Linked DNA regions of Mus musculus. The protein of the gene in region 2 purifies or fractionates together with the protein of the main gene of each other region. This does not show direct contact. Links are inferred from orthologs where the notes say so. Each region holds a gene or a part of one and is shown on either strand. Other genes may lie near its edges.

What was found. The genes of interacting proteins can lie anywhere in the genome.
Region 1: the proteins of Sgk2 (region 2) and Fkbp5 purify together in Homo sapiens (affinity purification with mass spectrometry; 3 studies listed by BioGRID and IntAct, with this or other methods). This does not show direct contact. The link is inferred for Mus musculus from reciprocal best matches to the Homo sapiens genes SGK2 and FKBP5.

The regions. Positions count from the first base shown.
Region 1 is NC_000083.6:28,483,349-28,487,576, forward strand, and holds the start of Fkbp5 (peptidyl-prolyl cis-trans isomerase FKBP5), read right to left. Parts: upstream 2,802-4,228; 5' UTR 2,604-2,801; intron 1-2,603. UniProt on the Homo sapiens protein: Immunophilin protein with PPIase and co-chaperone activities. Component of unligated steroid receptors heterocomplexes through interaction with heat-shock protein 90 (HSP90).
Region 2 is NC_000068.7:162,993,936-162,997,481, reverse strand, and holds part of Sgk2 (serine/threonine-protein kinase Sgk2), read right to left. Parts: coding exon 3,543-3,546; intron 3,018-3,542; coding exon 2,960-3,017; intron 2,813-2,959; coding exon 2,729-2,812; intron 1,796-2,728; coding exon 1,664-1,795; intron 1-1,663. UniProt on the Homo sapiens protein: Serine/threonine-protein kinase which is involved in the regulation of a wide variety of ion channels, membrane transporters, cell growth, survival and proliferation.

The DNA.
Region 1 (4,228 bases), on a different chromosome or scaffold from region 2:
AAACTGAATCCCCTGTAGGAACTAACAACACAATACACATTCTTTTCCAATCCAAAAGTAAAGAAAATTCTCAAAATTAACTAACAACTCATCCCAAATTCTAGGCTTTTCATGTTTAAGTGATTTAAACTGTCTTTAAAAAGAAATGCTGGCTGGTGATATTGCTCAGCAGATAAAAGAACCTGCCAATAAACTAAGCCACCTGAATTTCAAGTCCAGGACTTACACAGGGCAAGAAGAAAACAAAACTCCAAAGTTGTCCTCTGACAACCACACCAGTGCCAAGTACTCTCACAAATGACAGATCGATCTATCACAGACGATAGATAGATGGATATAAAAACTAAAAAGTAAATAGAGAAACATCCTTTTGTGAAATGTTGGAATGACAAAAGCCCCCACTGATGAACTTTTGTTTTAAAACAACTTGCAGAAAATATTCCTAAATTAATTTTAAATGATCTCAAGTGGCTGGACAGTGGTGGCGCGTGCTTTTAATCCCAAGCACCGGGAGGCAGAGGCAGTTGGATCTCTGAGTTCGGAGGCCAGCCTGGTCTACAGAGTTCCATGACAGCCAGAGCTACACAGAGAAACCCTGTCTCAAAATCAATCAATCAATCAATCAATCTCAAGTGGTCCCAACTCATAGCTAGCTCAAACTAGCTAGATGAATAAAATGATTGTTCAATCAATTAGTGTAATTAAATAAAAACGAACTGTGCTCTGAAGTTCAACATTTCTGAAGTATAGATTACACCCAAGGCAGTTACCACACAAGACATATCAGAAGACAAAGGGGAAGAAAGCTAAAAACACTCAGTGCTGCTAACAAACCAGTGTCATTATTAACCTTTGCATTTAAAAATAGGTAAACCGGGCGTGGTGGGGCCCGCCTTTAATCCCAGCACTTGGGAGGCAGAGGCAGGCGGATTTCTGAGTTCGAGGCCAGCCTGGTCTAGTTCCAGAACAGCCAGGGCTACACAGAAAAACCCTGTCTCGAAAAATAAATAAATAAATAAATAAATAAATAAATATAGTTAAAATACACCATTTCTGTAGCACTCCAAAGCGAAAGCTGTGTGGAGAGTATTAGGTTACAGAAATTTATACGTGCTTTAATTGAATAGTAAACTCCCAATAACAAAGGAATAAAACTTTGATGTTTCAACTATCAAACAAAAAAAAAATACCCCCCCCAAAAAGTCAGGCAAATGAGGATCAGCTGGGAGAGTAACAGAAAACGGTTAAGTAAGATTTTTTTCCAAGTCATTTCTTGAATTGATTCAGACACCAAGAGGAAAAGCTATAATTTTTAACAACATATAAAGCTAACAGCAAGAAGTGGGGAGGAAAAGACAAAATGCTTAACCCAAACACACCTTAACTTTTCCCTTGTCCACAGCCCTAAGAAAATGGGATGACAATAGAAATAAACACTCTCTCCTTCCCCTAAAGGAAGCAAAGAAAGTGCCTATTCAACGCCCTGGTCCGCTGGAAAACACACTCCTGAAAGAAGAAGAAGGGAAAAAAAAAAAAAAAAAAATCCCCAAACCACCAGCTCCCAACTGCCGCATGCAGAATTTACTGAATGGCGGCCAAGCGCTGTACACCCTGTCCCGAGCCCCGCCGAGGGCTGTCCCAAGTTCTGCACGCTCTGCTTACGATCTGTACCTTCCAACGCTTTCGCCATGGCTGCAGACACCAATTATTTAAAAAATGAGGCGCAAGCGCTCCACCTGGCTCATCCACAGACGAAGATGAGGAGGAGGAAGATGGTCATAATGCAACGTGCTCCCTTAGATTCATCCCACACACACACACAAAATGCTGGGTTTGGAGTCAAGGACTATGGCCGGAACAGGAGTGGTGATGCCGCTGGGGCGAAGGGAATGAAGATTCCTAAAATAACTTTTATTTCCTTAGTATTATTGAGAGCGGGGGTGAGAGATGAGAATGTGTATCGGAGCCAGTGGTGTTTGTGCTGTGTACACAGGGAGGTCAGAGGACAACTCGCGGTTGGAGTCGGTTCCCCTACTACCATGTCGGTTCCCGGGATCGAACCCAGGTCGTCACGCTTGGCTGCAAGCGGCTGTACCCGCTCAGCCACCTCCGAGACAACTTTTAATTAGCCCTTCCTCCTCAGTACCTCCGAGACCCTCCGGTCACCTGCCTGCCCGGTGCGAGCCGGCTCGGGAGCGGCAGGTGAGGGCGGTGCCCGGCCGGCACGCCCATCGCGCGGCCCCGCGGACGCGGCGGAGCACTCCGTTATCCGCGGGGCTTGCAGGGCTCCGGAAGGCCAAGTTTCCTCCGCGTCCGGAGGGCGGCGTGGCGGAGCGACACGGGGCTCCCCGGACCTGTGGGCTGCGCGGGAAACAAAAGCCGCGCGCGGGCGAGCGAGCCGCCGCCGCCGCGCTGAGGGAGACGCTGGAGAAGAGCGCCGGCCGCTCCACCTCCCACGCGGGGCCCAGGCCTCCCGCGCGTCCCGTCCACGCCATCCCGGGGAAGCCGCGCGAGGGGCGGCAGAAGCGGGACCGCGAGCACGGGGCTGGCTCCGGGGTCCGCCGCGTGCGCGCGCCCCATTCCCGCGGCCATGGCGCCCGTACCTGTCGCCGCGTCCGCCGCCGCCGCGTCCCTCGCTCCGCGTCTCTCCGCCGCCGCGCGCGCCGCTCAGCCCGCCCAGCAGGCCGCCGCTCCGTCCGCACGCTCGGTCGCTCAGCCGCGCGCCGGACACCGCCGCCGGAGACTGGCAGCGCCCGCAAGCCGGCTAGTGCGCCGGGCAGCGCCCGCCGTCGTCCCGCCCCCGCCGGCCGCAGGACCCACCTCCCATAGGGCCACGGGGCTGCCAATCCGCCCCCAAAAGGCGCGCGGGCTGTCGCTCCGCCCGTCCCGATTGGTGGCCGTGCACTGCCTATGCAAATGAGGCTCCGCCCCGTTCGTTTGCATCTCCGCCTCTTCACCGCTGCCCACGTGTCTGGCCCTTGCCCTTTGTGGGGGCCGGAGAAGAGGGATGGAGGAAGCTGACTGACACCTCGCCTCGTCGTCCACTGCCTCCAGACTAAATACTGACCAGACAAGCGTCTGCCTTGCCTGTCTGTCCACCCAGCCTGCCCTTCACGAGCTGCAGAGGTCGGGCCATGCTGACCCCGGAAAATAACCTCCTGAACTTGAAGATGCTCCTTAGAGACTGGGAAAATGCGATGTAGCACCTAGCACCTCTCTCTCTGGACACCCAGTGGGCGTGAAGATGTCGCTTTCCCTTGAGGTTTCTGCCTCTCCAACACAGCAAGCAGCCCAGGTGATGAGGTCAAAAAGGAACCCAAAGGATGGCTGTTGAGCTAGGTCAGCTTCGAGATGGCACCCCCTCGCCACGTCTGGGTGACTCCTATAGACGCTCAGGAGCTGCACCTGGGGACTTGAACTCTAACTGTTCGGTTTTTAAGAAGATTCTTAGAAGAACGTTTATGATGAGTGTTTCGCCTGCTGGGTGTGTGTGTGTGTGTGTGTGTGTGTGTGTGTGTGTGTGTGTGTGTGTTTACTATGTGAGTGCAGTACCCAACAGAGGTCAGAAGAGGGCATCGAATCCCCTGTCACTGGAGTTGGAAGCATCCTGTGCTCTCCCAGCCTCTGGGAGAACAACCAGTGAGAGCAACTGCTCATAACAGCTAGGGAATCTCTCCAGACCCCCGGTTGGTTGGTTGGTTTGTTTGTTTGTTTGTTTGTTTTTTGAGGGGAGGAGAAACTATAAAAGTCCCAATTACCTATGGAATATTTTGTAGCCACAGGAAAATTCCATGTTTCCTGGTTCCATGTCTGCTTTTATTTTAGTTTTGGTTTTTTGTTTTGTTTTTTAAGATTTATTTATTTATTATTATATCTAAGTACACTGTAGCTATCTTCAGACACACCAGAAGAGGGCATCAGATCTCATTACAGATGGTTGTGAGCCACCATGTGTTTGCTGGGATTTGAACTCAGGACCTCTGGAAAAGCAGTCAGTGCTCTTACCCGCTGAGCCTTCTCTCCAGCCCCTAGTTTTGGTTTCTTTTGTCTTGTCTCACTTTAGAACTTATGAAGATACATGTCACCTTGTATGGTGATATATATCAATGTCCATATAACACATATGATATATATCAATGTCTATCACCCACATGGTGGTATGGTCATTCCTTCCCTATCCTCAAAGACCTCTACAGAAAAGATAAAACTGATATAAAAGATACCCCAC
Region 2 (3,546 bases):
TGGCAGAGCTGGAACTTGAAACCAGGTCGTTCAAGACATACTTTGGTGGTGGTGGTAGGGCAGGGGGTAGACTTTATATAACCCAGACTGGCCTTGAACTCACGGTCCTTCTACCTCTGTATCCCACGTGTTGGGATTACAGGTGTGAGGCGCCATGCCCAGCAACATTGTGGTTTTCCTCCCACCCAAACGTTAGGACGTCACACAGCCCAGCTTGGATCTCCCTGTTTGGTCTGCTTTGTGAGTTGCAAAGCCATCATTTAGGGATGTGCAGAATAAAGCCTCGCCTGCTGGACTCAGGCTGAAAAACACTTGGTTACAGGTGAAATCTGGTGCAGCGGAGGAGGGAGACAAAGCAAAGCCCAAGTCTGTGTCCAGCTTGCCCTGCCCTGTCTTGGGGTTAGCAGGTGGCTCAGGTCTCTACTTAGGCAGTGACATCAGGATAGAGAGATGGCTCGGTGGTTAACGTGCTTGCCATGCAAGTATGAGGACCTGTGATGGTGTGTATGTGCTCGGCCCAGGGAGTGGCACAATTAGAAGGTGTGGCTCTGTTGGAATAGGTGTGGCCCTGTTGGAGTAGGTGTGGCCCTATTGGAGTAGGTGTGTCACTGTGGGTGTGGGCTTTAAGATCTTCATCCTAGCTGCCTGGAAGCCAGTATTCTGCTAGCAGCCTTCAGATGAAGATGCAGAGCTCTCAGCTCCTCCTGCACCATGCCTGCCTGGATGCTGCCATGCTCCCACCTAAGCCAGCCCCAATTAAATGTTGTTCTTATAAGAGTTGCGTTAGTCATGGTGTCTGTTCACAGCAGTAAAATGCTAACTAAGACAGGACCCAAGTCCAGATCCCCAGAGACCAATTTAAATGCCTTGTGGCCACGGCTGCCCATTTGTAATTCCATCCTCAATAAGATGGAGACCGAGGAACATCAGAGCAAGCTGGCTAGCAAGACTAGCTACAATGTCAAGCTCTGGGTTTGCTTAAGGGATAGACCCTGACTTAATGAAAAAGGTGAAAGAGAACCTGGGGGTGACTTTTAACATCAATCTCTGGCCTCCATTAACAAGTGCACACACACTCGCATGTTTGCCCCACACATAAAAATGTGTGCGTGCAATACACATACATGAAAAAAAGATTTTTTCTTTTTACTTTTTCTTTTTTTTCCCCCGTTGGATTTTCAAGACAGGCTCTCTCTGTGTAGCCTTGGCTATCCTGGAACTCACTCTGTAGGCCAGACTGGCCCCAAACTCACAGAAATCCACCTGCCTCTGCCTGCCTCCCAAGTGCTAGGATTAAAAGCATGCACCACTACTGCCCAGGTAAGATTTTTTTAAAAAAATGATAGTGATGGGTTATCTCTTACCCTGTGGCCTGGGTGTGGGAAATAGCAGTATTGGAAATAATGACCACACATTTCTCTCTGGCAGTGACCTTTCCTGGAGTCTATGAGAGTGAAGCTGGGCCACCTTTCGTGGGAAAGGCAGGAAAGTATAGCGGGGGGGGGAGAAGAGGACCCACTTGCTATAGACTGGGTTATCTTGGGAAGCGACTTACTCGGCTGAGCCTCTGTACTTGGGATACCAAGTGGGTCTGCGATAGGGATGCGGCAGGGGTACACAGCGAGTATGCACAAGGCCAGCTCCCCTCCCATGGTCCACTCACCTCTCCCCCGTTGACATAGTCAAGCACAAAGTAGAGTTTCTCTGGGGTCTGGAAGGAGTAGCGCAGGCCCACGAGGAAAGGATGCCGCACGTTCTTCAACAGCACGTTGCGCTCTGCCATGATGTGGTTCTGCTGTGGAATCACAGACCAGGGTCCATGTCACAGTTCGGGACATTCCAGGTGACCTTGCTTCTGGAGGTGTCCTGCCTACCACTTTCTCCTTGCCTTGGTTCAGATGCCCACGTGGGCTCTCGATTGTCCCCAGCCTCCTTGTCTCGTACTTAGAAGTCAGTGTCTTGAGCCTCAGCCCCAGCCACTTTCAGACTAGTGTAAATCCAGAATCCCCTAACCTGGGGTGACAAGCAAAGCATATACTACTGCGAGACTCGAGACTCATGACTTTGATCCTGCCATTTTACCCATCTGAAAAGCCCCGCCTCCCTCCCTCCCTCCTCCCTCCTCTGTGTTTGTGTGTGTTTGTGTCATGTGTAATAAGTGGATGACAGATGCCTCTCTTAGCCCCTCTCCTCTATATTCTTTGAGACAGGGTATCACTGGACCTATCTCTGCAGTACTAGGATTAGAGAGACATGCTACCATGCTTAGCCTATTTTATGTGGGTTCTGGGGGATCAAACTCAGGTCCTCCTGCTTGTTCAGAGAGCACTTTATTGCCTCAGCCATCTCCCTAGCCCCTGGTTATGCCACCTTTATTTCTCAAACTAACAGAGTGCTATTTACTGTCAGGATCCATTCAAGACCATTCATGCAGGAAGACCTCCCTTCCAAGCTGGCCAGGCCGAAGGGGCCTTTGAAAAGGGCGTGGTGTGAGCCCACAGTGCGCACTTGGGAGCCTGCTACCTGGAGAGGGCAGAGAGCTCAGAGGGTTCTGCATCCTCCATGGGTTCCTAGGGAGATGGCTTAGCTTGCCTTCCTCTAGGAAGGTTAGGGTCTGGTGTGCCCCTGGACTTTCTGAGCTGCTCCCTATAGACCTCTGGGAGCTGGGACCGTCTTGGGAAGCCTCCTAGAAGCAGGAAGGGAAGTGAGCTTTCCTGAGCTCTGGTACCTCTTTGTTCTTTAAAATGGATTTCTTCTGCAGCACCTTCACGGCGTAGAAGGCTCCGTCCGACTTGCGCTTGGCCAGTAGGACCTGCAAAAAGTAAAGGCACAAGACTTCAGGGATGATGGCATTCCCCTGGCAGCCCCCACACCCATTCTGCAGGTGTGTGAGCCTTCACTGACAGCAGGTGGAAGGCTGCAGAGGGAGAGATCTCAGGCTCCCGAGGTCCTTACTTACCTTCCCGTAGTTCCCTTTGCCAATGACTTTGAGGAAATCAAAGTCTGTGGGCCGGGCACTGTGGACAGGAGAAGAGCAAAGATTAGCCTCTGGACGCTCAGGAAGCCCGGACTCTGGTTAACTTCAGACATGGAAAAAGCAGGTGGCTTGGCAGGAGCCTCATGGCCTGGCCAGTGAAGAACGCGTCTCAAAACCCAAAGTAACTTAAAAGACTCAGCCTTACACACCTCTCCCTACACCCACCCAGCTCCCAGTCCTGTTAATACCAGGAGAGGCAAATCAGGTACATGGTGCAGAAGGCAGTCTGCCCATCCCCACCCCCATCCCACCCCCATCCACAGTAGGAGAAGGGTCTGGAGAGTTGCTGACAGTGCAGATGTTTGGGGTCATTCCAGGCAGGAGGCTCAACCTAGGTCAAAGCAGGGGAGTTAATGAGAGATGAAGCTGAGTGGCCGTAGGGAAGAGGGATGCTGGGCCAGCTGGCAAAGGTTTTGAGCACATCAGGGACCTTAGATTTCATTTCTAACGAGAACCTGCCATAGGATAGCCAGGGAGGAATTTTGTCTTCAAAACCAAAACTCACTTTG